Linked DNA regions of Mus musculus: regions 2 and 3 are each reported to be linked to region 1. The links are microRNA targets in miRTarBase. Many come from high-throughput screens and were not tested one by one. Region 1 holds a microRNA gene; each other region holds the end of a gene's coding sequence.
The links. The annotated mature microRNA mmu-miR-466c-3p reads AUACAUACACGCACACAUAAGA and lies in region 1 at 5,885-5,906, shown strand. An mRNA with a match to its seed (bases 2 to 7 or 8) in the 3' UTR can be bound and repressed. Matches are read on the target gene's strand: a 7mer-m8 pairs with bases 2 to 8, a 7mer-A1 pairs with bases 2 to 7 and ends in A, and an 8mer does both.

Region 1 (10,833 bases):
GCCTGTACATGCGCGTATATGAACATGCATATATATATATATATATATATATATATATATATATATATATACACACCCACACAACTAGGGACACATACATGTGCACACATACACACATGGCAGTCATCCATTTGATTTATACGTGCTTATAATTTCATTGAGTGTATATTCATGGTATAGGGAATAATCTCACTTATCAGATGAAAACCACTTGCCAGAGTTAGGAGTCTCAGGAGTTCAAATTCATGCTTAACTTCATAATGAGTTAGAGATCACCCTGTATTTGTGTGATGGATCCTAGGTATGCACAAGTGCATATAATTGTGTGTGCACGTACATGTGTGTATATGATCATACATATAAATACACACACATACAAATGTATTCACACACACAGGCGTGCACACTCACACACATAAGAATGACACTCATTGATCCATTTGAATGATATATGTCTTAGAATTTTGCTGATTATAAAGTAGAGGGACAGTGAAGGTCTCACTCACCAGGTGTAAATAATTGGCAGTGTCAGGAGGATCAGGAGTTCAATTTCATGCTTAACTTCATGAGCAGTTAGAGATCATCCTGGAATAATGTGATGGCCCCTATGTATGTGCCCGTGTGCGTAAGTGCCTGCATGTATATGCGTGTATATTTTATGCATATACATACACACACCTACACACACATGCACACAGACATGCGGAAATGGCCTTCACGGATCCATTTGAATGATATGTGACCTACTGCTTTGGAGGTTATGTATGACTGGGCCAGGGTGAGGTCTCACAAACCACGGGAAAACCCTTGGTAGAGTCGGGAAGATCAGGAGTGCAAGTTCATAGTAAAGGCATGATGAGTTAGAGGTCATCCTGGCATTCATGTGATTGCCCCTACGTATGTGTATATGTGTTGATGTGTGTGTGCATGTACATATGTGAATATGATATACATATACATACACGCACACATAAGACACATATGAGCACACAGACACAGGGGAATGGCACTCGTCAATCCATTTGAATGATAAGTGACTTAGAGTGAAAATGCTTGCTAGAGTTAAGAGTATCAGGAGTTCAAATTTACACTTATCCTCATGAGAGATCAGCCTGTGATTCCTCCATGTATGTGCATGTGTGTATAGTTGTGTGTGCATGTTCATGTCTATATTTGAATATACATAACATACACACACACGTATAAACGCAAGCACACATACACAGACACAGGAATGGCATTCGCCAATCCCTTTGAATGATAAGTGATGTAGAGTTTTAGAGATTATGCAATAGGGGACATTGAATGGACTCACTCACCAGGTGTAAAAGATTGACAAAGTCAGGAGGATAAGGATTGCAAATTCATGCTTAACTTCATTTGGAGATCATCTTGGTATTAATGTCATGCAACCCATGTATGTGCATGTGTGCTTACTTGTATGTGCATTGTATGTGTTGACATGATATACATAACATAAACACACGTGTTTATGCAAGCACACACACACAGGAAAAAATTGCATTCATTTATACGTTTGAATGACATGTGACTCAAAGTTTTCAAGATTATGAAGTAGTGGGACAGTGAATGGTTTTACTCATCAGGTGTGAAAGATTGTGGATCAGGAGTTCTAATTCATGCTTTACTTCATGATGACTTAGAGATATGCCTGGGATTCATGTGATGTCCCCTATGTATCCCTATCTGTATCTGTTTCTATTGTGTGTGGATTTGAGTATATGGATGTACCTATCTACACAAATATGTACATGTACACAGACACAAACAGAAACACACACAAAAACATCAGTGCAACTCATCGATCCATTTGAATGACATGTGACTTAGAGTTTTAAGATTTTTCAGTACTGAATGGGGAGAGGTCTCACTCAGTAGGTGAAATCCCTTGACAGAGTCAGGTGGATCAGGAGTTCAAGTTCGTGCTGAATTTCATGATGAGTTCATGATCAGCATGGGATTCATATTATGCCCACCAAAATGTACATGTGTGTATAGTTGTGTGCATATTCACTTCTCTATATGAATATGCATATACACACATGCACACACATTCATAGGAATGGCCAGAGCTATGTCTCAGTTAGGAGGTGAGCACTCTTGCCAGTGTCAGGAGGATGAGGAGTTCAAATTCATGTTTAACTTCATGATGAGTTAGAGTTCAGCATGCGATTCATGTGATGCCCACCAAGAATGTGCAGGTGTGTATAGTTGTGTACATATTCACTTCTGTATATGAATATGCATATACTCACATGCAAACATACTCCCACGAATGGCCCGTGCTATGACTCAGTTAGGAGGTGAATACTCTTGCCAGCATCATGAGGATGAGCAGTTCAAATTCATGTTTAACTTTATGATGAGTTAGAGATCAGCCCGGAATTCATGTGATTTTCCCTGTGTTTGTGTTTATGTGTATAGGGAAGTATGCCTGTACATGCGCGTATATGAACATGCATATATATATATATATATATATATATATATATATATATATATATATATATATACACCCACACAACTAGGGACACATTCATGTGCACACAAACACACATGGCAGTCATCCATTTGATTTATACGTGCTTAGAGTTTCATTGAGTGTATATTCATGGTATAGGGAATAATGTCACTTATCAGATGAAAACCACTTGCCAGAGTTAAAAGTCTCAGGAGTTCAAATTCATGCTTAACTTCATAATGAGTTAGAGATCACCCTGTATTTGTGTGATGGATCCTAGGTATGCACAAGTGCATATAATTGTGTGTGCACGTACATGTGTGTATATGATCATACATATAAATACACACACATACAAATGTATTCACACACACAGGCATGCACACTCACACACATAAGAATGACACTCATTGATCCATTTGAATGATTTATGTCTTAGAATTTTGCTGATTATAAAGTAGAGGGACAGTGAATATTCTCACTCACCAGGTGTAAACAATTGTCAGTGTCAGGAGGATCAGGAGTTCAATTTCATGCTTAACTTCATGAGCAGTTAGAGATCATCCTGGAATAATGTGATGGCCCCTATGTATGTGCCTGTGTGCGTAAGTGCCTGCATGTATATGCGTGTATATTTTATGCATATACATACACACACCTACACACACATGCACACAGACATGCGGGAATGGCCCTCACGGATCCATTTGAATGAAATGTGACCTACTGCTTTGGAGGTTATGTATGACTGGGCCAGGGTGAGGTCTCACAAACCACAGGAAAACCCTTGGTAGATTCGAGAAGATCAGGAGTGCAAGTTCATGGTAAAGGCATGATGAGTTAGAGGTCATCCTGGCATTCATGTGATTGCCCCTATGTATGTGTGTATGTGTTGATGTGTGTGTACATGTACATGTGTGAATATGATATACATATACATACACGCACACATAAGACACATATGAGCACACAGACACATGGGAATGGCACTCATCAATCCATTTGAGTGATAAGTGACTTAGAGTGAAAATGCTTGCTAGAGTTAAGAGTATCAGGAGTTCAAATTCATACTTATCCTCATGAGAGATCAGCCTGTGATTCCTCCATGTATGTGCATGTGTGTATAGTTGTGTGTGCATGTTCATGTCTATATTTGAATATACATAACATACACACACACGTATAAACGCAAGCACACATACACAGACACAGGAATGGCATTCGCCAATCCCTTTGAATGATAAGTGATGTAGAGTTTTAGAGATTATGCAATAGGGGGCATTGAATGTCCTCACTCACCAGGTGTAAACGATTGACAAAGTCAGGAGGATAAGGATTGCAAATTCATGCTTAACTTCATTTGGAGACATCTTGGTATTAATGTCATGCAACCCATGTATGTGCATGTGTGCTTACTTGTATGTGCATTGTATGTGTTGACATGATATACATAACATAAACACACGTGTATATGCAAGCACACACACACAGGAAAAAATTGCATTCATTTATACGTTTGAATGATACGTGACTTAAAGTTTTCAAGATTATGCAGTAGTGGGACAGTGAATGGTTTTACTCACCAGGTGTGAAAGATTGTGGATCAGGAGTTCTAATTCATGCTTTACTTCATGATGACTTAGAGATATGCCTGGGATTCATGTGATGCCCCCTATGTATCCCTATCTGTATCTGTTTCTATTGTGTGTGGATTTGAGTATATGGATGTACCTATCTACACAAATATATACATGTACACAGACACAAACAGTAACACACACACAAACATGAATGCAACTCATCGATCCATTTGAATGATATGTGACTTAGAGTTTTAAGATTCCTCATTACTGAATGGGGAGAGGTCTCACTCAGCAGGAGAAATCCCTTGACAGAGTCAGGTGGATCAGGAGTTCAAATTCGTGCTGAATTTTGTGATGAGTTCATGATCAGCATGGGATTCATCTTATGCCCACCAAAAATGTGCATGTGTGTATAGTTGTGTGCATATTCACTTCTCTATATGAATATGCATATACACACATGCACACACATTCATAGGAATGGCCAGAGCTATGTCTCAGTTAGGAGGTGAGCACTCTTGTCAGTGTCAGGATGAGGAATTCAAATTTATGTTTAACTTCATGATGAGTTAGAGTTCAGCATGCGATTCATGTGATGCCCACCAAGAATGTGCATGTGTGTATAGTTGAGTACATATTCACTTCTGTACATGAATATGCATATACTCACATGCAAACATACTCCCACGAATGGCCCGAGCTATGACTTAGTTAGGAGGTGAATACTCTTGCCAGCATCATGAGGATGAGCAATTCAAATTCATGTTTAACTTTATGATGAGTTAGAGATCAGCCCGGAATTCATGTGATTTTCCCTGTGTTTGTGTTTATGTGTATAGGTGAAGTGTGCGTGTACATGCGCGTATATGAACATGCATATATATATATATATATATGTATATATATATATATATATATATATATATATATACACACACACACACACACACACAACTAGGGAAACATACATGTGCACACAAACACACATGGCAGTCATCCTTTTGATTTATACGTGCTTAGAGTTTCATTGAGTGTATATTCATGGTATAGGGAAAAATCTCTCTTATCAGATGAAAACCACTTGCCAGAGTTAGGAGTCTCAGGAGTTCAAATTCATGCTTAACTTCATAATGAGTGAGAGATCACCCTGTTTTTGTGTGATGGACCCTAGGTATGCACAAGTGCATATAATTTTGTGTGCACGTACATGTGTTTATATGATCATACATATAAATACACACACATACAAATGTAGTCACACACACAGGCATGCACACTCACACAAATAAGAATGACACTCATTGATCCATTTGAATGATATATGTCTTAGAATTTTGCTGATTATAAAGTAGGACAGTGAAGGTCTCACTCACCAGGTGTAAACAATTGACAGTGTCAGGAGGATCAGGAGTTCAATTTCATGCTTAACTTCATGAGCAGTTAGAGATCATCCTGGAATAATGTGATGGCCCCTATGTATGTGCCTGTGTGCGTAAGTGCCTGCATGTATATGCGTGTATATTTTATGCATATACATACACACACCTACACACACATGCACACAGACATGCGGGAATGGCCCTCACGGATCCATTTGAATGATATGTGACCTACTGCTTTGGAGGTTATGTATGACTGGCCAGGGTGAGGTCTCACAAACCACGGGAAACCCTTGGTAGAGTCGGGAAGATCAGGAGTGCAAGTTCATGGTAAAGGCATGATGAGTTAGAGGTCATCCTGGCATTCATGTGATTGCCCCTATGAATATGTGTATGTGTTGATGTGTGTGTACATGTACATGTGTGAATATGATATACATATACATACACGCACACATAAGACACATATGAGCACACAGACACATGGGAATGGCACTCATCAATCCATTTGCGTGATAAGTGACTTAGAGTGAAAATGCTTGCTAGAGTTAAGAGTATCAGGAGTTCAAATTCATACTTATCCTCATGAGAGATCAGCCTGTGATTCCTCCATGTATGTGCATGTGTGTATAGTTGTGTGTGCATGTTCATGTCTATATTTGAATATACATAACATACACACACACACGTATAAACGCAAGCACACATACACAGACACAGGAATGGCATTCGCCAATCCCTTTGAATGATAAGTGATGTAGAGTTTTAGAGATTATGCAATAGGGGACATTGAATGGTCTCACCCACCAGGTGTAAAAGATTGACAAAGTCAGGAGGATAAGGATTTCAACTTCATGCTTAATTCAGTTAGAGATCATCCTGGTATTCATGTGAGGCCATCCATGTATGTGCATATGTGTTTACTTGTATATGCATTGCATCTGTTGACATGATATACAAAACATAAACAAACGTGTATATGAAAGCACAGACACAGAGAAAAAAATTGCATTCATTTATACGTTTGAATGATATGCGACTTAAAGTTTTAAAGATTATGCAGTACTGGGACAGTGAACGGTTTTACTCACCAGGTGTGAAAGATTGTGGATCAGGAGTTCTAATTCATGCTTTACTTCATGATGACTTAGAGATATGCCTGGGATTCATGTGATGCCCCCTATGTATCCCTATCTGTATCTGTTTATATTTTGTGTGGATTTGAGTATATGTATGTTCCTATCTACACAAATATATACATGTACACAGACACAAACAGAAACACACACACAAACATCAGTGCAACTCATCGATCCATTTGAATGACGTGTGACTTAGAGTTTTAAGATTCCTCATTACTGAATGGGGAGAGGTCTCACTCAGCAGGTGAAGTCCCTTGACAGAGTCAGGTGGATCAGGAGTTCAAATTTGTGCTGAATTTCATGATGAGTTCATGATCAGCATGGGATTCATCTTATGCCCACCAAAAATGTGCATGTGTGTATAGTTGTCTGCATATTCACTTCTCTATATGAATATGCATATACACACATGCACACACATTCATAGGAATGGCCAGAGCTATGTCTCAGGAGGTGAGTACTCTTGCCAGTGTCAGGAGGATGAGGAGTTCAAATTCATGTTTAACTTCATGATGAGTTAGAGTTCAGCATGCGATTCATGTGATGCCCACCAAGAATGTGCATGTGTGTATAGTTGTGTACATAATCACTTCTGTATATGAATATGCATATACTCACACGCAAACATACTCCCATGAATGGCCCGAGCTATTAATCAGTTAGGAGGTGAATACTCTTGCCAGCATCATGAGGATGAGTAGTTCAAATTCATGTTTAACTTTATGATGAGTTAGAGATCAGCCGGGAATTCATGTGATTTTCCCTGTGTTTGTGTTTATGTGTATAGGGAAGTATGCCTGTACATGCGCGTATATGAACATGCATATGTATATATACACACAACTAGGGACACATATATGTGCACACAAACACACATGGCAGTCATCCATTTGATTTATACGTGCTTAGAGTTTCATTGAGTGTATATTCATGGTATAGTGAATAATCTCACTTATCAGATGAAAACCACTTGCCAGAGTTAGGAGTCTCAGGAGTTCAAATTCATGCTTAACTTCATAATGAGTTAGAGATCACCCTGTTTTTGTGTGATGGACCCTAGGTATGCACAAGTGCATATAATTGTGTGTGCACGTACATGTGTGTATATGATCATACTTATAAATACACACACATACAAATGTATTCACACACACAGGCATGCACACTCACACACATAAGAATGACACTCTTTGATCCATTTGAATGATATATGTCTTAGAATTTTGCTGATTATAAAGTAGAAGGACAGTGAAGGTCTCACTCACCAGGTGTAAACAATTGTCAGTGTCAGGAGGATCAGGAGTTCAATTTCATGCTTAACTTCATGAGCAGTTAGAGATCATCCTGGACTAATGTGATGGCCCCTATGTATGTGCCTGTGTGCGTAAGTGCCTGCATGTATATGCGTGTATATTTTATGCATATACATACACACACCTACACACACATGCACACAGACATGCGGGAATGGCCCTCACGGATCCATTTGAATGAAATGTGACCTACTGCTTTGGAGGTTATGTATGACTGGGCCAGGGTGAGGTCTCACAAACCACGGGAAAACCCTTGGTAGAGTCGGGAAGATCAGGAGTGCAAGTTCATGGTAAAGGCATGATGAGTTAGAGGTCATCCTGGCATTCATGTGATTGCCCCTATGTATGTGTGTATGTGTTGATGTGTGTGTACATGTACATGTCTGAATATGATATACATATACATACACGCACACATAAGACACATATGAGCACACAGACACATGGGAATGGCACTCATCAATCCATTTGAGTGATAAGTGACTTAGAGTGAAAATGCTTGCTAGAGTTAAGAGTATCAGGAGTTCAAATTCATACTTATCCTCATGAGAGATCAGCCTGTGATTCCTCCATGTATGTGCATGTGTGTATAGTTGTGTGTGCATGTTCATGTCTATATTTGAATATACATAACATACACACACACGTATAAACGCAAGCACACATACACAGACACAGGAATGGCATTCGCCAATCCCTTTGAATGATAAGTGATGTAGAGTTTTAGAGATTATGCAATAGGGGACATTGAATGGCCTCACTCACCAGGTGTAAAAGATTGACAAAGTCAGGAGGATAAAGATTTCAAATTCATGCTTAATTCAGTTAGAGATCATCCTGGTATTCATGTGATGCCACCCATGTATGTGCATGTGTGTTTACTTGTATGTGCATTGCATGTGTTGACATGATATACATAACATAAACACACGTGTATATGCAAGCACACACACACAGGAAAAAATTGCATTCATTTATACGTTGAATGATATGTGACTTAAAGTTTTAAATATTATGCAGTAGTGGGTCAGTGAATGGTTTTACTCACCTGGTATGAAAGATTGTGGATCAGGAGTTCTAATTCATGCTTTACTTCATGATGACTTAGAGATATGCCTGGGATTCATGTGATGCCCCCTATGTATATCTATCTGTATCTGTTTCTATTGTGTGTGGATTTGAGTATATGGATGTACCTATCTACACAAATATATACATGTACACAGACACAAACAAAACACACACACAAACATCAGTGCAACTCATCGATCCATTTGAATGACGTGTGACTTAGAGTTTTAACATTCCTCAGTACTGAATGGGGACAGGTCTCACTCAGCAGGTGAAGTCCCTTCACAGAGTCAGGTGGATCAGGAGTTCAAATTTGTGCTGAATTTCATGATGAGTTCATGACCAGCATGGGATTCATCTTATGCCCACCAAAAATGTACATGTGTGTATAGTTGTGTGCATATTCACTTCTCTATATGAATATGCATATACACGCATGCACACACATTCATAGGAATGGCCAGAGCTATGTCTCAGTTAGGAGGTGAGTACTCTTGCCAGAGTCAGGAGGATGAGTAGTTCAAATTCATGATTAACTTCATGATGAGTTAGAGTTCAATATGCCATTCATGTGATGCCCACCAAGAATGTGCATGTGTTTATTCTTGTGTACATATTCACTTTTGTATATGAATATGCATATACTCACATGCAAACATACTCTCACTAACGGCCAGATCTTTGTCTCAGTTAGGAGGTGAATACTCTTGCCAGCATCATGAGGATGAGCAGTTCAAATTCATTTAAACTTTATGATGAGTTAGAGATCAGTCCAGAATTCATGTGATTTTCCCTGTGTATGTGTGTATGTGTATAGGGAAGTGTGCCTGTACATGTGTGTATATGAACATGCATACACACACACACACACACACACACACACACCGAGGGACACATACATGTGCACACAAACACACATGTCAGTCAGCCATTTGATTTATACGTGCTTAGAGTTTCATTGAGTGTATATTCATGGTATATGGAAACATCCAACTTATCACATGAAAACCGCTTACCAGAGTTAGGAGTCTTCTCGTGTCAAATTCATGCTTAACTTCATGTAGAGTTAGAGATCACCCTGGATTTGCGTCATGGACCCTAGGTGTGTACATGTGCATATAATTGTGTGTGCACGTACATGTGTGTATATGATCATCCCTATAAATACACACACATACAAATGTATTCACACACACACAGGCATGCACACTCACACACATAAGAATGACACTCATTGATCCATTTGAATGATATATGTCTTAGAATTTTGCTGATTATAAAGTAGAGGGACAGTGAATATTCTCTCTCACCAGGTGTAAACAATTGGCAGTGTCAGGAAGATCAGGAGTTCAATTTCATGCTTAACTTCATGAGCAGTTAGAGATCATCCTGGACTAATGTGATGGCCCCTATGTATGTGCCTGTGTGCGTAAGTGCCTGCATGTATATGCGTGTATATTTTATGCATATACATACACACACCTACACACACATGCACACAGACATGCGGGAATGGCCCTCACGGATCCATTTGAATGAAATGTGACCTACTGCTTTGGAGGTTATGTATGACTGGGCCAGGGTGAGGTCTCACAAACCACGGGAAAACCCTTGGTAGAGTCGGGAAGATCAGGAGTGCAAGTTCATGGTAAAGGCATGATGAGTTAGAGTCATCCTGGCATTCATGTGATTGCCCCTATGTATGTGTGTATGTGTTGATGTGTGTGTACATGTACATGTGTGAATATGATATACATATACATACACGCACACATAAGACACATATGAGCACACAGACACATGGGAATGGCACTCATCAATCCATTTGAGTGATAAGTGACTTAGAGTGAAAATGCTTGCTAG
Region 2 (10,833 bases), not on the chromosome of region 1:
AGGTCCTCTGAAAGAGCATCCAGTGATTAACTGCTGAGGCTCTTAACTGTCATGCTCTGATAGTTTTCCATAGCTACTTTTTTGAAACTTGGAATAAACCCCTGATAACTGAATGCAAAGTAAAACACCACACACAAGCACCAGACCATTCTATGGCCCTGTTCAATTGTCTCTGAATGCTTACATCAGTAAGAAATCTCCCATTCCGAGTCTCCGTACTGCAGAACACCCTGCTTTGCGGACTGTCTGCTGCTGCTGTAACATTGCCAGACTGAGGAGTTTATAAATGAAGTTATTTCTCGTGGTCTGGAGGCTGGGAAGTCGGGGAACATGGTGCCATCTGGCAATGCCCTTCATGCTATAGCGTAACATGGCGGAGGGTAGTATGCTATGTCTTAGCGAGATAAGTGTAGTGTCACATAGTGAGAAAGACAAGCATGCAAACTCAGTCGCTATCTTCTTATAACACCACCGATGACATCATGGGACTACACATCAATCTATGTACCTCCCAAAGGACTTTCCAGCTATCATGGATGTATGGATTTGGGTATTGCATGTTCATTGTATGCTCTTAGAGATGGGCACAGTTGCTAGTAAATTCCTTGGGAAACAACACCTTGTCTCTCCTTGTTCCTTGTTGAGCCTCCAAACACTAAGTTTTGTAACCACTAGATACTATTTATTGACAATATATTCCACATATCCCAAACTTGTTCCCTGCCATGCATTTTCCTGACTTTTGTTACCATTTCTTTTTTTTCTACCCTTCCTTTGGTTTTCACTCTGCATACCGCAAGACGGAGAAATGAAAAATAAAGACTATTTTTAAAGGCCATGAATACAGTCTCCTGCCCAGCTGTGCTACTAACAGTGGGACAGAAAAGCCGAGCAAAGCCCTTCTGGTGGGCAAACCCACTAGGCTCAGTTATCCTCCTTCCTTGGTGCAGCTCTGAAGGACAGCATCAAAGGGAACTGTGAAGGCCCTGTGACTTATAAAGTACCACAGGCGGACACCCACTGGGTCTCCAAAACTTCAACACACAAAAGATTCTCCTGCAGATTTTAATGTAATTTGGGACGAGCCCTTTGGACAAGCACCCCCAGTGTTTCCTATGCAGGTTGTCTGGAAACTTTTATCAGCTAGCAGATGAAAAATGAGGGCCTGAGAGGAGCCATTACTAGGTCAAAGCAAATAAAATAACCTTGAAAAGCTCTGCTCTGAAACCGGTAAAGTCCACATTCCTGCTTTAGCACTCACTGAGTGCCTAAACCTATTGGTCTCTAAAGGGTAACTTGTAGCCACTGAAAAATCTTAATAATACCTATTGTCCTGTGGTAGTTACTCTGTTCCCAAAGGCATCATTGGGCATTTGCATAAGTATCTAACCTTCCAGTTGACAGATGAAATACAGCTTCCTTCATGTAACTGCAGACAACTATTAAAGAGGGGGTGGGGGGCGTGGAAATCAAGCAGGCTGTATGCTGCTTAGGTCTGTGCTCTTTGGTGTCTGTTTCTCCTGCTAACTACTCTTTATACAAGTAAAGCCAGTAAGCAAAAAAATCTGTATGTGAAAACAAAAGAACTTTCTCTTAAATATTCCTTACTTTACAAATAAACTGCATGGGATTTCCTTACATGATGAACTTCCATAGTGCATTTAAGGATGGCACACCACCAGCTTCTAAAACACAAGTAATCTTTTTGTTTGTTTGTTTGTTTGAGACAGGGTTTCTCTGTGTAGCCCTAGCTATCCCTGGAACTCACTCTGTAAGCCTCGAACTCAGAAATCCGCCCGCCTCTGCCTCCCGAGTGCTGGGATTAAAGACGTGCGCCACCACTGCCCGGCTCAAACACAAGTAATCTTAAGGATCCATTTACGTAGCCAAATAGTTGCTCTTACTGTGGAATGTAAATGGGGTTGGCTCACCATTTACAGATCTCACAGTGACACCCCCCCCAACATGGGTGCTGAACCTCGAACCACTTCAGTGGGCACCTCTCAACCAGAATTCTATCCTTCACCCCAATACTGAATCAGAAGCCCTGGGGTATAACGTCTAGAATCGCCCTTTAAGCTACCGAGGGACTTTGGGTGAGAAACAATGACTCAGAAGTCTGGATGCATCAAACCCAGCATTCTTTGGAGGAATGAACTGAGGACTTGGAAAGGTACGCTGTGCAGAAAGCCACAGCTTGTGAGCACCACAATAAGCTGCAGAAGCTACGTCCTTGTGTCCCTTGGTTCCTTTTACACCAATTCAAACTGTGTTTCGTTAAGTTGCACTTACGTCTTTTCCAAATGCGCACCTGCAAATTAATCTCTCGTGTACAGGCGGGGAATAATACAGTCAGTGCCTACGTCTTAAAAGTTTCTGTGAGGGTATTACTAAGATAAAACTCATTATTTAATGTATTTAACAAGGTACCTGGAATACCACACTTACTGGCTAGGATGCAAAACCCACACACACATACACACTAAAAGCCTGCCTTCTTAACTGAAAAGGATTTCCTGGGCCACTGCAGTTATAAACCCATGTTTAATTCTGAAAGTCCAAGAAGACCTTAAATTCAAGGGTAAGATTTAAATTCATAATATCTACTATCTTCCTTTGCCAGCCACCACCTACGTCTGCAAAAAGTCCAGAGAATAATCACTCTGCGGTGACCTAACTTCATAAACCAGCCCGATAGTTGCATTGCTCTAGAGACTCATGACAGCGATAATCTATTCTGACAAAACGCCCCTTGCCCCTCAACTGGTGTTTCTCGGGCGCCCTACGGATGGATAACCACTAGTATACAGAACCCTTGGCTGTAGCAAATGGCCTCTCAAAGCTTCCCGCTATCAGTGAGTCAAGGAGCAGCGTCATCAGGCCCAGAGGCAAACAACAGCTGCGCACAGCTGTGCTGGGTGACCGCTTTGGTTACCCGCCCGACCCCATTCACCTCCTAAGAAACAGAAAAATAGACAAGCGCCATCCACAGATCTCCACGGCGCACACAGTGTGGCCTACGAGCAGCTAAGGTTGACCCCGAAACCTCATTCCTAGGGAGCAAGGGTCAAAGGTGACCCCGAGTGACCCAGCAGGCCCTAGCGGCACAAGAAGGTTAACGACCCTCTTGTGCCGTTTTTTTCCCAGCGGCGAGAAGCCTCCACCAGCTGCCGGAAGTATGTCACCCCGACTGCGGGGATGGCGGGAGTTGTAGTTAACTGGCTATATCTCTTGCAATAATAGTTCAGTTTTATCAAACAAGTAAACACCCTGAGGCTCTGCAAAACGAACGCGCTGCTCGCTTTCTGCCAAGTTCTTAAAAAAATCCTGGTTTCCCCTGCTCCGCAGGACGCGTTCGTGCCCCGCGCAAGCGCAGGCTCGGACTACACATCCCAGCGTGCCTTGCGGCGCTCCCGCCGCGCCCGGCTGTAGTCGTTGGTGTGGGCCGCGTGAATGGAGCTCCGCGCGTGAGGCAGCGCCTGGCACGGCCCGCGCCAGCGCCTGTCTGGGCCCCGGAGCGTGAGTGCGGGTAGCGGCCGTGCGCGTGCGCACTCGCCTTCGCGCGCGGGCAAGCGCCCGACCATTGGCGCGCTAAGCGGGCGACCGTGCAAGGCGGCCCCGCGCGCCCCGCTGGCCGGTTGTTGCGGGGAGGTCTCCCGCCTGGCGCGGGGGTCCGCGCGGGTAGCCGTGGCGGCCGCCGGAGACCGCAAGGGGCGGCGCAGAGGCGGAACGGGCCGGCCGCGAGCCGCGCAGGAAGCGCCAAGCATGCCCCGCGACAACATGGCCTCCCTGATCCAGCGCATCGCTCGCCAGGCGTGTCTCACCTTCCGCGGCAGCTCGACGGGCTCCGAAGGGCCGGCGCCGGGCTTCCCGGAGAACCTGAGCCTGCTCAAGAGCCTGCTGACCCAGGTGCGCGCCGAGGACCTCAACATCGCGCCGCGCAAGGCGCTGCCGCAGCCGCTGCCCCGCAACCTCCCGCCGGTCACCTACATGCACATCTACGAGACGGAGGGCTTCAGCCTGGGCGTGTTCCTGCTCAAGAGCGGCACGTGCATCCCGCTGCACGACCACCCGGGCATGCACGGTATGCTCAAGGTGCTGTACGGCACGGTCCGCATCAGCTGCATGGACAAGCTGGACACGGGGGCCGGGCATCGGCGGCCGCCGCCAGAGCAGCAGTTCGAGCCCCCGCTGCAGCCCTTGGAGCGGGAGGCCGTGCGACCGGGCGTGCTGCGTTCCCGGGCCGAGTACACCGAGGCCAGTGGGCCCTGCGTGCTCACTCCACACCGGGACAACCTGCACCAGATTGATGCCGTGGACGGGCCAGCTGCCTTCCTGGACATCCTGGCCCCACCCTACGACCCGGAGGACGGCCGGGACTGCCACTATTACCGTGTAGTGGAGCCCATCAGACCCAAGGAGGCTTCCGGCTCTGCCTGCGACCTTCCCCGAGAAGTGTGGCTCCTGGAGACACCACAGGCCGACGACTTCTGGTGCGAGGGAGAGCCCTATCCAGGCCCCAAGGTCCTACCTTGAAGCTCCTGCCGCCCGGGGAACTGTGGGCCAAAGATGTACCCTGCCCTGCTCAAGAAAGGCCTGGCTGCCCTCTATCTTCCATAAGGGCTCTTCTCTCCGCCCCCTCGCCTGGACGATGGATTTACTGGAGTGACCAGCGCCACATCTTGAGGAACCTTGGGGAACACGGCCCACTGGAGTACAGCCACCACCGGGCACGGTTATGGGGGCGGGTGGGCGGAAGGCTAGGTTGATTCCTGGTATCCTCAGTGCCACCAAGGCTTTGATTTAAGGGAACCGGGCAGGGACCCTAAAGCGCTTCCATCCTAAAGCCATAATGAAACCATTTTTGTTTCTCATTCTCTACAAAATACACTAAGTAGTTTTGAATCCCTCTTCCCTTCGGTGACTCAGATTTGTTTTCTCTCCTGCCCACGATTGCTCCTTAATAGTTTAATTTATTACTGATTGTGCATGACCTTGAATTGTTCTTGTTTTCTTTTTTTTTTTTTTTTTTTTTTTTTTAGTTATTCGTTTGGTTAAAACACACACACAAACTACTCAGCATCTAAAGTGAGGAGTTCTGAAAAGACATCTTTCTAGCACTGGGGTTCACCCTCATAACTGTGCGTGTTGAGGACGATGTCTTTCCTCCCCTGGCTTGGTAGCCACTTCTGGTGTACTCAGGTAACCTTTAGTAAGAAGGTCACATACGCGAATTCTCTTGTCAGGCCCTTAAAGCTCGTCTTTCCCTTGGGTCTCAAGATCTGTCGTTTAAACAAATTTTTTTGTTGCTATTGGGGATTTGCCTTTAAAGCAAAGACGATTATTATCCTCAGCTGACTTTTTCCTTGACGTGCTTCAAAGATGATACAATAATTATGTGTTTTCTAACCAGACGATTCCGAGGAGCGGAATCTGCTATGCTTCCAAATAACTGAATGTAAAGGCCCTGGCCACCTGTTGAATTCCATACTCGTATTTACTTCCAGCTTCTTCCTAGGAAAGAAGAGAAAGATACTCTTGACTGTTTGTTGTTGTTGTTGTTGTTGTTGTTGTTGGTTTTGTTCTGTTTTGGTTTTTTGTTTTTGTTTTTTTGCGTTCTCTGTGGAGGGAGCCTGCAGAGGAGCTGTGTGGTTCCAGCTGTGCTGCCGGGAGATAGCCTCCCAGCACTCCCTTAAACAAGAGCCAGTGCTGCCTACTACTGCCTTCTCTTGCAGGAAGAGGTAGAGAGCATGTAGTACCCTGGGAGGGGCTCTGGAAGTAGGCTGCTGGCTAAGCAGGCAAGAAGCCCTGGGCTCAATCCTCAGTACCACATAAACCAAGTGTAGCACACAGCATTTAGGAAATATAGGCAGGAGGATCAGAAGTCAAGGTCAGACTTGGCTACATAGTGAATTTGAGCGGAACCGTGGATGCATAAGACACCATCATATAAATGTGTGTGTATACATAACATATGAATATGTATATATACACATATACATATGTATGTACACACACACATATGAAATGGATACATGGAATAGATGCTTGAGAATTTAGCCATTTAGGGCACCAAGATTGGAGACTAAACCCTATGCCAACACTGCAGCAAACCCTAGCGCTGCTGCAGTATTATGGCTGGCGGAGGCTCAGCCCCTTTACCATGTTTACAGACGTGTCTATCGATTCTGACCATGGACCACCAGTTTCCCCTGTTTACTATGTGTAGGGTTCCTTTTTATCACAGGCCTTTTCATAAAGACAAACTGTAGAAATCAGATGTGCCCAGCTGTCTTCTAAGCTCTCTTGATGGCTCATGTGGCAATAGAATATACTAATATCGGCAATAAATGGAGACTTACTGTCATGAGTGACAAATGTTTGTTGACCTGGCAGGGAAACAAACTGCTTTTGGCTCCATGTATCCAGGATACACATCCAGGCTGAAGGGGTGTCCTTCCCGGTGCAGTCATTAAAGTGGTACGAGACAGCAAATTATTGCTGGCTTGGCTTGTGGCTTTTTGTTTGTTTGTTTGTTTGTTTCATTTTAATAAAAATGAGAACAACAGGCCAGTGGAAACCTGCTTTAAACCTGACAAACCATGAGCAACACCCAAACACTTCCACCATGGCTGCTAGAGTTCAAGTTCTTTCTGATCATGGTCTTTAAAATGCCTTTGGAGCCTCTCGAAGCAGCTCTTTGAGCCACTCGTATGAACATCTAGATAGGAAGTGATGGTTTTAAATTTGACTATTTTCATAGAATATTAATAATGAATATGGTTTTTCAGCCACATACAGATTTTGAATTGCAGCAAAGGTTGATTCCTTTACAAGGATTGTTGAGAGTCATGTGTACTTTACAGCATACTCTGGAGGTCCTTTCATGGAGCCTGTAGAAGTCTAGCCTGGAATTGGGCTAGTAATAACAATTATTATGAAGGCCTTCATTGCAAAAGAAGGAGGAGAAATATTAAAGGTTTGTTATAAGCAGTTTGGAAGGAAAAAAACCCTAAGGTGCTTTTCAAAAGAGTAACGAAATTGTTCTGAGCTAAAACAGCAATACTGTGTTCCTCATTAGTTCAATAGGAACAGTGAAACTGTCATTTCACTAATAAACTGAGTAAACTTACGGTGAAAACAGTGTAATATGTTTTAATGAGCCACTTGAGAAAGAATATGCTCGTTACTAAGATAAAATGTGCAGAAAAATCCTTGCACGTCTATGCATAAACTATTAGCTATAACTTCTGCCGTTGTGTTTCCCTGTAGGTCTACAATATAGATTGTGGTCTAGAAATTAGGATAAAAGTTACCTTCTCCTTTTCTTAGAAAAGACCAATGAGCACAATGGTGTTAAGTCACTTAACTGTTCTGATGAATAATAAATGCAATAACTAGATCCTGAGTGAGACGCTGTCTGTCTGTCTGTCTAAATACACTGAACCTTTTCAACCTTGTAGTTCTATCAGTGACCAGTTATATCGATGTAAGATTTTCATACCTTCCTACTCCTTTGAGAATTGATGGGTTTACTACCACATGCTGCTGATTACATTAAAAAACAACAACAACAAAAAAAAAACCCTGCCTTTTAGGTAATGTGTTTTCTATGTTAATAGGAGTGAGTTCTCTTGAGTTTTTAACATGACTGTCAAAATGTACACCTTTCCTTCCCCACTCGATCCTTGCATTGTCTTGTAGGTTCCTTGAACTTGACATCTGGGGAGAACCTACCTGCTCTGATGGCAAATGAGTCAACTGCTTTAGCTCTCCTGTCCTGCCCAGCAGAGAGACAGTTACCCCCACTTCGTCACTCTGCCACTCTCCTGACAGCGTTTGCTCCTCTACCGCAGGCCTGAATTCAGAGTGTAGGGTTATACAGAACCCAGATTGGTCCATTGTGCTGAGGTTTCTGCTGTCAAAGGAGATCATTTCTTAACAATACCCAGTCTTACAGTGCAGGGGTGTTTACGTTTCTGAGTAAGATGTGTGTACTTATGGGAAATAAAAGCATGTTTAAAATTACGTAGAAATAATGTTGCTTATTGCAAAGTGGAGAAGGGAAACATAACTATTACTATTTTAATTATTGTTGAAAACTCACAGTTTATTCCATAAGGTTGTATTGTATCAAAAGCCAGTGACCTACAGATCCCCCAAAGACCAAGAAGTGGTATAAACTTAGTTTGTTTTCTTGTGAGTGGTCTTTGAAGCAAGCCGACTGAAAATACATCTGAGAGTATTTACTGTCTAATTACACTATTTTGCTGTAACAGAAAAGGCTGCTTTTGTATTTAATCTAAAGAAACTAGCAAGAAAAACAAAGTCAATTTTTATCCTAAAAGGAAAGAAAATCTTAAGGCTTAAAGTGTTTTCATCTCTTTTTTTTGTCTTAGTAATTCCATGGTTACCATTTGGACTGGCAGCATTTAGGAGTCTATCTACATGCCTCCACACACATGCTGAATTGTTCCAACAGTTGAAAACTTTTATGAAATGATTTGCCTTGGTCTCGTAAACAATTAGGATACGGATATTAAATATCCTGGCTTGAGGAAGTCATTTAGGTTTCATCAGCTGTTTGTTATACAAATGAAACCATCTCTGGCATGAATCTCTTAAGGAATCTCTCTGCACAAAACCTGAAACATTTGGGGGACGCAGGGGAGGGATTAAAAGAACCAAATTTACCATTCTGTGGTGATTTCTTAGGCAAAAATTTTAAATGTCAGGAGAATTGGCCTGAATGCTTTTAAACTGAGAAAGTTGGTTAAAGATATCGGGTATGTAAGTAACTGGGGACAGAAGCAGAAAGGGTAGCTCTGACCATTCAGGTGTACTGAATCTTATGGCTTGTTGGGGAGGTTTGCTACCACACCAGGATGGAACTGATCACATAACCGGTGTGCTTTAGCATGGAGACTTCTTTTTGTCTTGTTCTTTAAGTGATGTTTAGTCTTGCTTTTAAAATCCTGGCTTGGGTGATCTTGATTGAATGTGGTCCAAAATTAAAATTTTAAAGATAGCTAAAAACTACAAAATTTAGGTGTGTACTATCTTTAAATAATGAAAGTTTTGCAGGAGAAAGGTATTTAAAAGTTACCACGATGTGGTGTGGCTTTATAGTTGCCAGTATTGGATAAGTAACAATAATAGTTTTGGTAGTTGACAGCCCGAGTCCAGTGGGAAATTATAAGGAAACCATCCCACACTAAAGGTTTTGAAATTTCTATTTAGGAGTTCTGGAAAGAAGTTTCTATACCCATGAAAGGGGGTTAAAGGAAGGAGACTGGGGAGGGGCACTAGTGGCCTCCATAAATTGAATCTCTTATCCTTGTGCTGTTAAGGGCCAAAGATGTGACCACCACTGTAGAATGCAAGCCCTTGATTAGTAGCCATCAGCCTCAGGGACTTTACAGGGACCAGAAGCAAGGGAGGGGTTTTCTGTTGAGGCTGAGCAGTGTGGCTACACCCGCAGATTACATTGCATAAGGAGCAGTGGACATTATAAATATTGAGGTCCAGATTTTCAGAGTAAAGATGCCAACGCGCATAACACAAGTGGGTAGGTCAGATGGTTTTGAGTTTAAAAGAAAATGATAAAATGTTCCCAGTAAAAAAGAAACCTTAGAGTTTTATAATGTTTTGGGGGAGGCAGCTTACCTAGTAAGTTTAGATTGTCTTGGAGTTTTACAGCCTCGTGTCTACCTATCTTAAGCTATTTTGAGAATCATTTCTAGATCCACCAAGCTTGTGACAAATGATCCCTCCAAACATGGGCAACCATCTGAGACGCCAGGACTGGAGAGAAATGAGTCCTGGGGTAATTGCTGAAGCCGTTTCATTGGCATCAGCTGGCATCAGCGGTGTCCGAGCAGGTTTGATCTGAAGGAATGATAGCTCTTTGAAAAAGTTTCCTGTGGTTGTAAGATTAATCCTGGAACTCAGAAAGTCATTTCTAATTTGACCATGCTGCCACACTTTCCACAAAGCCACAACTCAGAGTTCCAGGCCGTGGTCAGAGTTCTGAAAGCAGCCCTGGGGGGTGTCATCTCTGAGTGGGCACTTGCTTGTAAGTATTTATTTTCCGGAGCCCACTCAGGAGCAGAGAGAAGCTATAGGCTGTTACAGGGGACAGAACAGTGAGTCAGAAGGCTTCCTCACTAACTCAGCGGGAAATCCCTGAAGCCTAGCTAGGTAGGGCTTGTTATCCACAGGCCAGCAAGGGAACATGGAGGGCTTGTGCTAACCCCTCACTAAAGCGGTGTTTGTTCCTAGTTCTCAGATGTCAATAACTATTTTAACTCCACCCAGTAAGTACTTCAGAAATGATCTCTGCAACCAGAATATTGTTGAAAAGTATTTATTTACACCATAGTCAATAAGCCATCCATTATCTGAACTCCAGTTAGTGGTTTTTTTATGTTAGAATAGATTGTTTCTCTCTCCACAACTATTAAGAGCTAATAACCAAACAAATCAGCGGCAGTGACATTGAAGCACATTCTCACCTGAAATTTGGCTACAAAGGTAACACTTTTAAGTCACAAAACAGAGCATACAAAAATATACTTTCTAAAAAAATTCCAAATATTAATAGGCAGAAATATACAGCCATACTTAAACCCAAGGAGTGATTTTTCTGTTCCCATAGTAAGGCATCCTGTACACATGCAGACCCTGTTAACACTGCCCACATCACACAAGGCACAGAGGACACTTGCAACACCACTCACTGCATGCATCCTATGTACGTCCCCCTTTAAATAAGTTAGTTAACCTTTGACTCATTTCAAGAGATCATAAATGCTTTACATTTTTTTCCCGAAG
Region 3 (10,833 bases), not on the chromosome of region 1:
CCAAGGCACACAAAAAGGCTCCTCAGGGTCATTTAACAGCTGATGATCTGAGTAATTATCCCTAAAGTCTTAGAACCCCTCCAATAATACCTCCTCTAAGTCCTTCCATATTGACCTTTTTCTTTTTTCATTTCCCCCCCTAGACAAATAGTAGAAGGAACAGACTCCTTCAAAGTGACTACATGAACATGACTCCCCGGAGGCCTGGGCTCACTCGAAAGCCTTACCAGCCCTACGCCCCTGCCAGAGACTTTGCAGCGTACCGCCCCTGACAGGGACCCCTATCCAGAAGCCCGCCGGCTGGTACCCGTCTACCTGCTCATCATCACTGCTCTGGATAGGAAAGGACAGCCTCATCTTCAGCCGGCCACTTTGGACCTCTACTGGGCCACCAATGCCAACTATTTTAGAGTGTCTAGATCTAACATCATGATCATCTTGAGACTCTGGAATGAATGACAGAAGCTTCTATGGCAGGATAAAGTCTGTGTGGCTTGACCCAAACTCAAGCTTAATACATTTATTGACTTGATTGGGGAAGTTAGAGTAGAGCAATCAAAAAGATCATTCATTCAGCCTTGGGAAGTCAATTTGCAGGCTCCTGGATGAGCCCTGCCCCGTTTTCACTTGCCAGCACATTTCAGTCATGTGGTGTGATAGCCAAAGATGTTTTGGACAGAGAAGAAAGGATAGAAAAACCTTCTCTTTGGCTAAGTTGGTGTTTGGGGTGGGGATAGGTTAGAGTATAGTACTTAACTATTTGAAAAATAATGAAAACACTTTTTTCACTCATGAAATGAGCCACTTAGCTCCTAAATAGTGTTTTCCTGTTAGTTTAGAAAGTTGTGGACATATTTTTTTAATGATTTCTGACCATTTTTAATCACATTGACTCATGGAATGGCCTCAAAGCACCCCCCAGTGCTTCTTTCCTCATTCCCGGTCATGGGAACTCAGTATTATTAATAGTCACAACATGATTTCAGAACTAGATAGCCCTCCCACACCAAGAAGAATGTGAGAGGAAGTAAGGTCACTTTATGTAAAAAAAAAAAAAAACAAACGCGTACACATATGTATGTATACATACATACCTATGTGCACACACACACACATATACATACACACAAAATGCTATGAAGAGTTATCTGTTTAGTAGCCTGTTATAGTCAAATCATTTTAAGTTTCAACTTCTTACAGTTGGGCCACTTGTTGTCCTTTGTGGATGGATATCTGAAATTGTGTCTATATATTGCTAGTCATGATACTGTGAACAAAAAGGGTAGTGTTAGTATTTGTCAGGGTGGTAAGGATGCATTCCAGGAAGCTTCCTCTGAGGAAGGGAATGAGGTCATTCTTGCCATGTATGAAAGACATAGATGTTTTCCAGAAGGCACCATTGGGAGCCCCAGTATAAGTTCCTTTAGACTCTACAGTTTAGAGGGATTTTATATGTCCTAGGACTCAGGACTCCAGAACTTTGTGGGCTCAGCTGCTTCATACCATGGGGATACATTGACATGAACAATTATTTTGGAATGTGTCTTTAGGGACGACATCAAAGTTCTCAAGTACCTACAAGACCTGATACTGGAATGAAGGTGGACTTTCTTTTTTGCTTCCAGTTCGGATCAACTGGAATGTATCTGGGGACCTTGAAGAACGGCTGTCCAGCTGTCTTCACCATTTGTATAGTGCTTTGAATTATTCAGAGGTTTTAAAGTCAGGAAGACCTGGTTTAAAAAACATTTCATTATGAGTTAAATGGCCTCAGGCAAGTCACTGTTCATCCAAGTCTATGACTCCTCAACTGTAAGATGGCCACACTGAAACTTGCTAAGATCCTCTGGCCTCTGCCTCCCAAGAGTTGGGATTTCAGGAGTGCACAATCATGACCCAAACTCGTGATAATCTCTCAGCTTCAATAACTTTCCAGCTAATTGGAATATCCTGTAATCAAACATGAGGCATTTCCCCTCCCCCCACTGTTTTTGTGTATAAAGAGATCTTTAAACTTTTTTTTTAATATGAGGGGTAAGAAAAGATAGGAATCTTTTAATTCTAGACAGAAGATATTGTGCTTTGGTTTTTTTTTTTTTTAATGGCTTCTATTCTGTGCTTTTAATTAAACCAGAGAAGGCCAAGATTAGCCCTACTTGTGTGATAAAAGAATGCTGGCCCTTGTGATTGCAGTCAGCCTCTTGACACATAGAGTTCTTGAATCTAAGTTATAAAATTATATTTGAAAATGACAGAGCTGGAGAATTTATAGAAAGGGTCATAGCAAATAACAAACCATTTTTTTTTAAACGGAAAGATTTGGTCTTTGGCAATCAATAACTTTGTTTTCTAACTGGAAAAGGAGGTTTACTGGAGATGAATCACACCTGAAAGTTTTCATACCTCCTCTGAACACAACCGAAACATAGGTGTCCAAAGCCTTTCGCTCTCGGTATGAACCAACAGGCGGGTTAAAAACACTGGGTCAGAGTAAAGCTTTTGCAGTTTCAGATGTAGTGTGTATGAAGAAAACTATGTCACTTGCTGCTATTATTGTAAGAGTCTAAGAACTAAAGGTGTGCCTGTAATTTCTAATTATGAGCTCACCTATTTGGTACCGAGCATGCCAATTTTAAAGAGACCCGGTGTACCTTATAGCTACATCCAATGATAAAATTACCACACTAGCACATGCCTGTGTTTAAACTCGTGCTTTAATGTTTTTCTTAGGGCAGGTATGCACCCCCTTTGCAGTGAGTTGGGAGAGATTTTGAAAAAGTGTATGACAAACATTTTTAACACCTTTGGTTTCCTCTCTCTGTGTCTCTTTGTCTCTGTCTCTCTCTTTCTCTCCTGTGCATATGTCTCCCCTCCCTCACTTCTCTGTCTCTTCCTCTCTCCCTCTCTCTGTCTTTCTCTGTGTGTCTCTCTGTCTCTGTGTATCTCTCTGTCTGTCTCTTTCTCTGCAGATTTTCAAAACGTTGTTTTTCTATGGAAGAAATACAAGCTGTGGTTGGTTTGCTACGAGTCAGTAGCAGTTTATCAGTAGGCCAATGTTTTATCTCTTGGAGATTTCAGTCTGGGTTTACCCAATGTATTCTCTGTAATGTGACTGCTGGGGACAGATATAACTTGATTGAGCCTTCAAATCATTTAGGTCTTCAATCATTTAGTCAACGGAGTGAGCCACTAATCTGCAATGGCTATTTTAATATGCATACTGATGGTCAAATGGATGTCTGATCTCTCATCCCAGCTTTCTGTACTACCATATGGGAACTATATGTAACTTGTATACTTACCTGAATATGTTAAATTCAACTACATGGTAAGATGGACCAGAAATTGCAATGTTCATGTCCATATAGCCACCATTAACCCAAGTTAAGCACAGTAGTGTGGGTTCTCTCAGGACTTGTGAATGAGTTTATGCTCTCTACAAAGACAGGTGAAGCTTAAATCTCTCTTGCACTGCTATGTTTATGCAAATATCAAGATTGTTTCTGTACCAGGGACTTAACACATTCTATTCATACTATTTTCCCTGTCTACAATGTTATTTCATAGATATCTACTTGGTTTGCTCTTACTTCCTTGACATATTTGCCCAAATGCCACCTTCAACTGTAGTTAATTACCTGTACAACCTGTCTCCATGCCTTGTTTTATTTTCTCTATAACTCTACTAATAGGTATTTTTCTTATTTATTGGTTTATTGCCTGTTTTTTTTCCTAAATCTACACCGGATCTCCAAAGGGAAAGAACTCCATTTGCTTTGATTTTATTGCTGTATCCCCAGTGCCTAGAATAATGCTTAGCCTGCAATAAATATTTATTCATTGACTAGATGGATTTCACGTGGGTTTATGAGTTAGTGGCAAATCTGAATGATCTGCTCATAGTCTGAGAAGGAAGCAGAATCACTTCTGTTTTCCACTTCCTATTAGAGACAGAAGAGGTAAAGCAGACACAGAGAAATCTGGTAGAAGGACATATCATTGATACAAATTCATTTACAGCTTAGAAATTTTCATGCATCCTGAAAGATGAATACAGTCGGAGTCATTCTAAAAATGTTATTCTAAAAACAACCAATTAGGAATAGGTTGATTTTCCATTTAAAGTTCTCAAGTTCTCTCTCAATAGCTTCTTGACATCCTTTTTGTTTTTATTTTTTATTTTTTGGAACCTTCTTTTAAAATGTTGTTATTGGGGCTGAAGAGATATCCCAGTCATTTAGAGCATGACATGGGCTATTTTTCCAGAGGTCCCAGGTTTGTTTCCCAGCACCCATATTTGATGCTCTCTTTTGATTTCTATGGCCACCAGATGCTTATGTGGTCCAACAGACATTCATTTAGGCAAAACACACACATAAAAAATAAATAAAAATAACATTGTTGACAATTTCATGCATTTGTTCGCTGTATCTGACAATACCCATACCCAGCTCCTGGCCACCATGGCCCTGGGCAGTCCCCAATGCACAACCCCCTCTTGTTTTCACGTCCTCCCCTTTCTTTTCCTTTTCTTTTCATTTTGGTAACCCACCTAGTCCAGTTAGTGCCACTTGCTGGAATGTGTACCAGTCATGGTGGCTTGACCTTGAACAGGTCTTGTACAGGTAGCCATGGCTCCTGTAAGTTCATAGTACAATGGCTGTGCAGTGGCTGTGGCATATCTAGAAGACAGCATGTCACAGCATGCCACACTCTCTGGCTCTGACATTCTATAAGTTAGTTCCCTCTTCCATGACGTCCCCCGAACTTTGTGGGAAAGGTTGCTTGCTACAGATTCCCATTTAGGGTTGAAGAAAACACAAAAGTCACTCATTCTCACCAATCTGACCAGTTTCTGCCTAGTGCAGAAAAGAGGCTTATTTGGCAAAGGCTGAGAGCAGCACTTACCTATGGATATAAAAAGAAATATTTAGAAGGAAGTCTTACCTGTCTATTCAGTAAAACAATAGCAGTGGGTTCCCTATTATGACCTATGACTTATGAACCATGAGCCACGGACTTTTGACCAGGTTCACAGTATCAGGCATCAATTCCTTCCTATAGTGTAGGACTCAAATCTAATCAGAAAGTGACTGGTTAACCCATAACCTTCCTGTCACCATTGCATCTGTGGGCACATCTTCTCTGTCAGGTTGATATTGTAGCCTCCAGGGACCGGTTCTTGGTGGCATTGTTTATAACCCCACCCCACCCCTCAGTTGCCAGAAAAGCACCTCTCGGCACTATGAAAGTTAACCAGCAGGAAAGAAATTCTCAGGCCATTTCTACCTTGACTACTCTGTTCTGTTCTGTAATTAAAGTCTGTTGTATCTTCAGCAGCAGGGCTTTACCATGCAGTTAAGGTGGGCAACCAGGACAATAGCAGCTTCTGCTGCCTTGCGGGCCTCCGCAGTCTCTATGACATATCCCATGCCTGGCACTGAGAGTTTTTTCATTTAAAACCCATGTTTCTGAGGGAAGCATTTTGTCAATGCTTTAAACCCATCTTTAGCTTCTGGTTTCTGAAAATATGGCTTTTGTAGTTAAAAACTCACCCTACAGCTGAATTACTGCTCTTCTCTGTGGAGTGATTTTGTTCCAGTGAAGTCTAGAAATGCTTTGTTAGCTCTGATCCAAAAAGATCTCAAACAATGGTCAGGACAGGAAATGCCAGTCTCTTTACCTGTCTTGCTCATGGCGTAAGTGGGTGCTTGAAAAGCTTGCAACAGCTTCAGCCAAAAAGAAGAGCAAACAAGCAAAATACGTGGCATTGGGAGCAAGCTGAAAATTTATACCATACTAGTATTTAACACACACATCAGCGGACAGTGGCTGGGGGTGGGGTGGGGTGGGGGGCAGTGCAAAAGAATCCTGTGTGTGGAGGAGGAGACACTTGAGCCACAGACACAAGAGCTTGTCTGATACTTGGTAATCCATGTAGCTGTTTCTATTTGGCCTTAAGTTTTCCTTTGCAGATGACCTGGAGTAAACAAGGTACATGATGAACTCATTTTTAAACCCACTCTTTGTTTTGTTGAAACGAGACTTGTGGAGTTCAATAAATGCAGAGAAAGCTTGAAAAAGATGAGCTCACATCCAGGCTACTACTTAAGAAAGTCTGGAATCAGCTAGTCTCGTGGATGTTTCAACAGGGAAATCAGATCAAACTGGAAAGGTACCAGATTAATAGATGGAAAAACCTCTGCACAGATCTCAGTAAGGATGTGTTTATTGTACTAATGGAAAATTGTATAACCTGTTAAAAAGTTGAGGTACCTCCAGACTCATCCTCAAGGTATAACACAAGGCAAATTCTATGACATCACTAGACAGGCCCCTCTATCATGTCTTAACCCCACAAATGTGAGAATTTACAATCAACAAACAACAGCCTTTAGTGCACTTTGTAGGAGATTCAGTCCAGGGCTCCATCTAGGCAAACAACTGAGCTGCATCCCCAGCCCAGGGTAGTTTCCTTTTCAGTGGGAAGAGCCATGTGTGTATATATCTTTGTGTATGTGTGTGTGTGCATGTGTGTGTGTGCATAAGCACATGTGTATGCATGTACATGCTGATGTTGGATATTTTCTCTATCATTCTGCACTGTACTTTTTGAGACAGACTTTCTCACTGAATGTAGGACTCATGCCAGTGAGCTGCAGTAAGCTCCTGCCTCCACCTTCCCAGCTCTAGTACGTCAGGTGAGCCCCTTAAAGCCTGACTCTTTACGTGACTGCTTGGAATGGATCCAAACTTAGATCTTTATGCGACAGGTCCCTTACTGACTGAGCCACCTCCCTAGACCCACATTCCTATTTAAGCAGTATCTTTTGTCATCTCTCGTTATATCTGGAACAGAGATGATAGATAGTTGAGACAAATCAAAGAAACTCCTGGGTTCATTGCAACAGAAATCTGACCCCCACAGTAAAAGGCAGCTACAGATGGTCTGGGAACCACCTTAGAAACCTGCTGATGGTGTGCTCTGTGTTCTCCTCAACTGAGCCTCCATTGATGTGCTGGCAGTGGTACTCAGGATCTTGGGTTTTGAGAAATACATCTGAGAGATTGGACCTCCTTATGTTTTCCCATCTGACATTCTGAAAGTAGGGTGTGTGTGTGGTTTTTGTTTTTGTTTTTGTTTTTTTTTTGAATCATAGGTTTATGGTTCTTAAAACTGTAGACTACTGTCCAGAGCAGTATGTGAAACACTAGCTTAAGTGCCTTTTGCTCATTTCAGGGTTGACATTGGACCCAATGCTTGAAACTACTTGCATTGAAAGTCTGTGTGTCCAAGAATATGTCAGACTTTCTGAGCTGACCTCACTCTTGGGGCAAAATCAAGGATCAGAATGTGTGCTTCCCAAAGGCCATGCCCTATGCCATTTGCCCACTTAAACTCTGCGAAAGGATTGGAAAGGCTACAAACTCAAGGGGATAAAAAGTTGTAAAGGATAGCCTGGATTTCACTCATACTTCATTATGTAAAGGCATCTCAATGACAGATAATCTCCTTTGTCTCCAAAGGGCAAGCTGTGAACTGGGTGGAAATGTCAGTTGAGACAGAAGAGCAGCAAACAGCTCTGTTTTCCTATAGTTGTGGTTTTGCATGGTGACGATGACACATGAAGATGAGAACAGGTAGCATGAACTCCAGTCATTATCTGAGTGAACATCTCTGCCAACGCTGAAGGATATGTGTGGGTGTCACCTGCAAGCACAGAGATGGGGAGGGAGGGAGGGAGGGAGAGAGGGAGGAAGGGAGGGAGGGAGGGGGAGGGAAGAAGAGAGAGAGATGAACAAAAGGTTTATTTATGAAGTTTACATTTGATTTCCTTTCCCTTGATAACTTCCTCATCTGAGTTTAGTGTCTAGACTAAATTGATGTACATTTGGTGACTGAGGAAGAGGGTCAGAAAGGTGGGTTTGAATTAGCATCAGCAAAGTTAGCCAGATTCATACAGACTTTTTTTTTCAATTTCTTATGCACACACTGAGCATTCGATACGTTGGCATCCAAAGTGAGGGTTTTTGCTAACGTCTGGGAACCAGTGATATAGATGATATGAAGCAAGACTAGCTGGAGGTTGTCATGGGGATGCTTTTTCATTCCAAACAGGGTGCAACTCATGTTTCATTTGCTTTGTGCCTCTCTGTCCTGTCTTCTTCTTCATTCATCCAACAACATTTTGATGACCGTCTTCCCAGCTCTGAAAAGCGGACTGGGTACAGGAGAAACGATAGAGCAACGCTGTTGTCCTTATCTCTGCGTGGACCAATCAGAGTGTATTTTACAACCCTTCACCTCCTTCTATTCACCTTAAGGCACCTACTTAGTCCTGACTGTAGAACTTAGACATTGTGTATCTACTGTTACTCTGGTGACTGTATAGTTTCTTGTAGCTACTGCAGTCTGTCACTGTAGACAAACAACTGAGATTAGCTGTATTTCAGCAAGCTTTTACTTATGGATATTGGTATTTGATTCTCCTTTAATTTTCTTGCCAGATATTGTGATTCCTCTGATTGCTGCACCATCACCCTAGCCGTATGTACACATACAATCCATTCTTCAGCTCATGGCCTGTGCAGTGTCAGACAGTGGCTAGACTTGGCCTGTAGGCCGCAGTTTGCTGACCTCTGAGACAGAACCAAGGCACCACTTTTAAGCTTTGAGCTTGTCTTTGAACGCCAGACACCATCTAGAAGGGATCAGTCTGGGTGCATGTAAAGACCTCTTGGGAGTGTGAGTGTCCAAGTAACTTTATTTAAAAAAAAAAAAAAAGGCAAGGATTTGCAGAGAATGAGGGAGAGACTTTATCCAAGAGAGAGCTATCCTGGGGAGGAGAAACAGGAAACTAAAAGCAAAGGGGACGAGAATTTCAAGATGACAGCATCCTCGGGAAATTAGTGCTAAAAGCCCAATGATTACTGTTACATTTTCTTTGCTCTTTTCCCTCTCGTCCAACCATCAAATCCATGCAATCTCCAAGGAAACAAAATAAATTTTTATTCACAGTGGGGGTGGGGGGGTATGGCCCGTGTCCAAGGTAATGAAAAAGACGAATTACCCTGCAAATCCTTCCAAATGGACCACACTCAGCTCCAGTGTGGAGTGGGTGGAGCAGAGACCAGAAGCAGCTGTCTCAGGACTGGCCTCCTACCACTTTCCATGACTTTTTCAAATCTAAATTTAGCTACTATTTATAGGTGACCAGGAGAGCACACCCTCACCCGCACCCGCAACCCCTGCTGCTGCCCACTGGAAGGGCAAACTAAAGCTTGGCATTTCACAGGTAGGCGTGAAAGTCAGCTTTATACAGATCATAGACACTGACCCGGCCTTTGTCATCCCTTATCGCTGCTCCACCCTGTTTGTCTACAGCTGCTGGTTACACCCAAGGTACAAATAGTTCTTTCTGGAAACAGCCTGTGGGGGCACTCTGAGCCATACACTCATTCATTCTATCTGGGCATTTTAGAAATAGGGTAAGATTTAGCTTCATTTGTGCAGCCAAGAATAGGAAATTGCTCCCCAAAAGGTCAGATGCCTAAGATTTAATATGCAAGCAGCCTGTAATACCTAAGATTTAATATGCAAGCAGCCTGTAATACCTAAGATTTAATATGCAAACAGCCTGTAATACCAGGAGCAGGCACACCTCTCTCAGAATGGTGTATCCTGCAAAGCCAGGATACACTAATGTGTTCAAGTTACAGTCTGGGTGAACAGCCTTAGGACCTCCAAGACTTTTCTTATATAGTGTGTAGGACTGCTGTGTAGGTTATTCACTCAGTTCCTTCCCAGGGCCTCTACAGAGGCCATAAGAAAGACTTAAATCTGCTCAGCCTCCTCTTGAAGCTGTGACAGGAGAGTACTTATCTTGTGGAGCCTACTTCGATCTTTCTGCCGCTTGGTTACTAGCTTTATAGGGAGAGACATATTCTCAGTCTCAAAAGGAAGCAACCTAGGATGAAAACCACTGAGAACAAAACAGGAAGAGAGGTCCCAGCTCCTACAAGCACCTCTCTCCTGTTTGTTTGTTTGTTTGTTTTAACCTTCATTGCCCCTCAAATCTGGCCTCTTTCAGTAGGTTGTTTGTTTCGTGAATTAAGGTTAGTAATGCAAAAGTAAACTTCCAGGTTTAGAGCTCAGGGGGAAATTATGACTTATTGTGCCCCGTAGAATACTAAGTTTGGGGCTAATTCTTGTCTTTGCCCTTGAACCTTCTGGTGGGACAACGGCAGATTGTCTCTAGTTTCTACTCACTACTATATGAAAGGATTAGACAAAGGGACTTCTGTGTAGATGTCTTGTACTTTTTATATCCCACATTACAACTGTTTTATTTTTTCATATTATAGCTTTTATATACATGTGTATTTTTTGAGGTTTTTGTCAGCTGGGAATATTTGAAAAAGCCTACAATTTCTTGTACACATTATCTCCACTAGTTAAAAATTATGTGTCACTTTTTCTTAAATAAATAGTGAAATACTTGTGGATTTAAGGTAGAAATATTTATTTATATGGGCTTTCTTGTGTGAATTTAATTTGAAAATCACCTTCATGTAATAGCATGAAAAATTTCATTGTTTTTTTAAAGATAGACATTTCTCTAATAATAATAATAATAATAATAATAATAATAATACTTGATAGTATAAATCTAGTGATTTCTGAATTCTTCATAGTATATTAAATCTTGAGTATAATATATTGGTGCTTAAAACCTTTTAACTGAGTGAACAAACAGGTGGATAGGTAAATATACAACCTTTTATCTGAAAAACACACAAAAACTGTTTTGTCTTTTGATAAATTAGATGAAC

Region 2: the mRNA of Ado is a reported target of mmu-miR-466c-3p. Seed matches in the 3' UTR shown: 7mer-m8 at 6,005-6,011.
Region 3: miRTarBase lists Cd28 as a target of mmu-miR-466c-3p. Seed matches in the 3' UTR shown: 7mer-A1 at 1,040-1,046, 7mer-m8 at 1,077-1,083 and 7mer-A1 at 3,283-3,289.

What each region holds. Positions count from the first base shown.
Region 1 is chr2:10,490,436-10,501,268 of GRCm38, forward strand. It overlaps Mir466b-7 (microRNA 466b-7), which reads left to right and starts at 5,833; the gene lies at 5,833-5,920. All of the region lies in intron 10 of Sfmbt2 (Scm-like with four mbt domains 2), which reads left to right. Mir467a-8 (microRNA 467a-8) reads left to right here and starts at 5,545; the gene lies at 5,545-5,627. Mir669p-2 (microRNA 669p-2) reads left to right here and starts at 6,062; the gene lies at 6,062-6,148. It also overlaps Mir467a-9, Mir467a-6, Gm25285, Mir669a-8, Mir467a-7 and Mir466b-6, and 3 more genes.
Region 2 is chr10:67,541,706-67,552,538 of GRCm38, reverse strand. It overlaps Ado (2-aminoethanethiol (cysteamine) dioxygenase), which reads left to right and starts at 3,584. Exons shown (of 1, transcript NM_001005419.2): 1 at 3,584-8,028. The coding sequence starts at 3,766. The coding sequence ends at 4,536. Egr2 (early growth response 2) reads right to left here. Exons shown (of 4, transcript NM_001373983.1): 4 at 10,351-10,833.
Region 3 is chr1:60,769,514-60,780,346 of GRCm38, forward strand. It overlaps Cd28 (CD28 antigen), which reads left to right. Exons shown (of 4, transcript NM_007642.4): 4 at 144-3,846. The coding sequence ends at 272. It overlaps 2310016D23Rik (a long non-coding RNA gene), which reads left to right and starts at 8,948. Exons shown (of 3, transcript XR_865459.1): 1 at 8,948-9,403.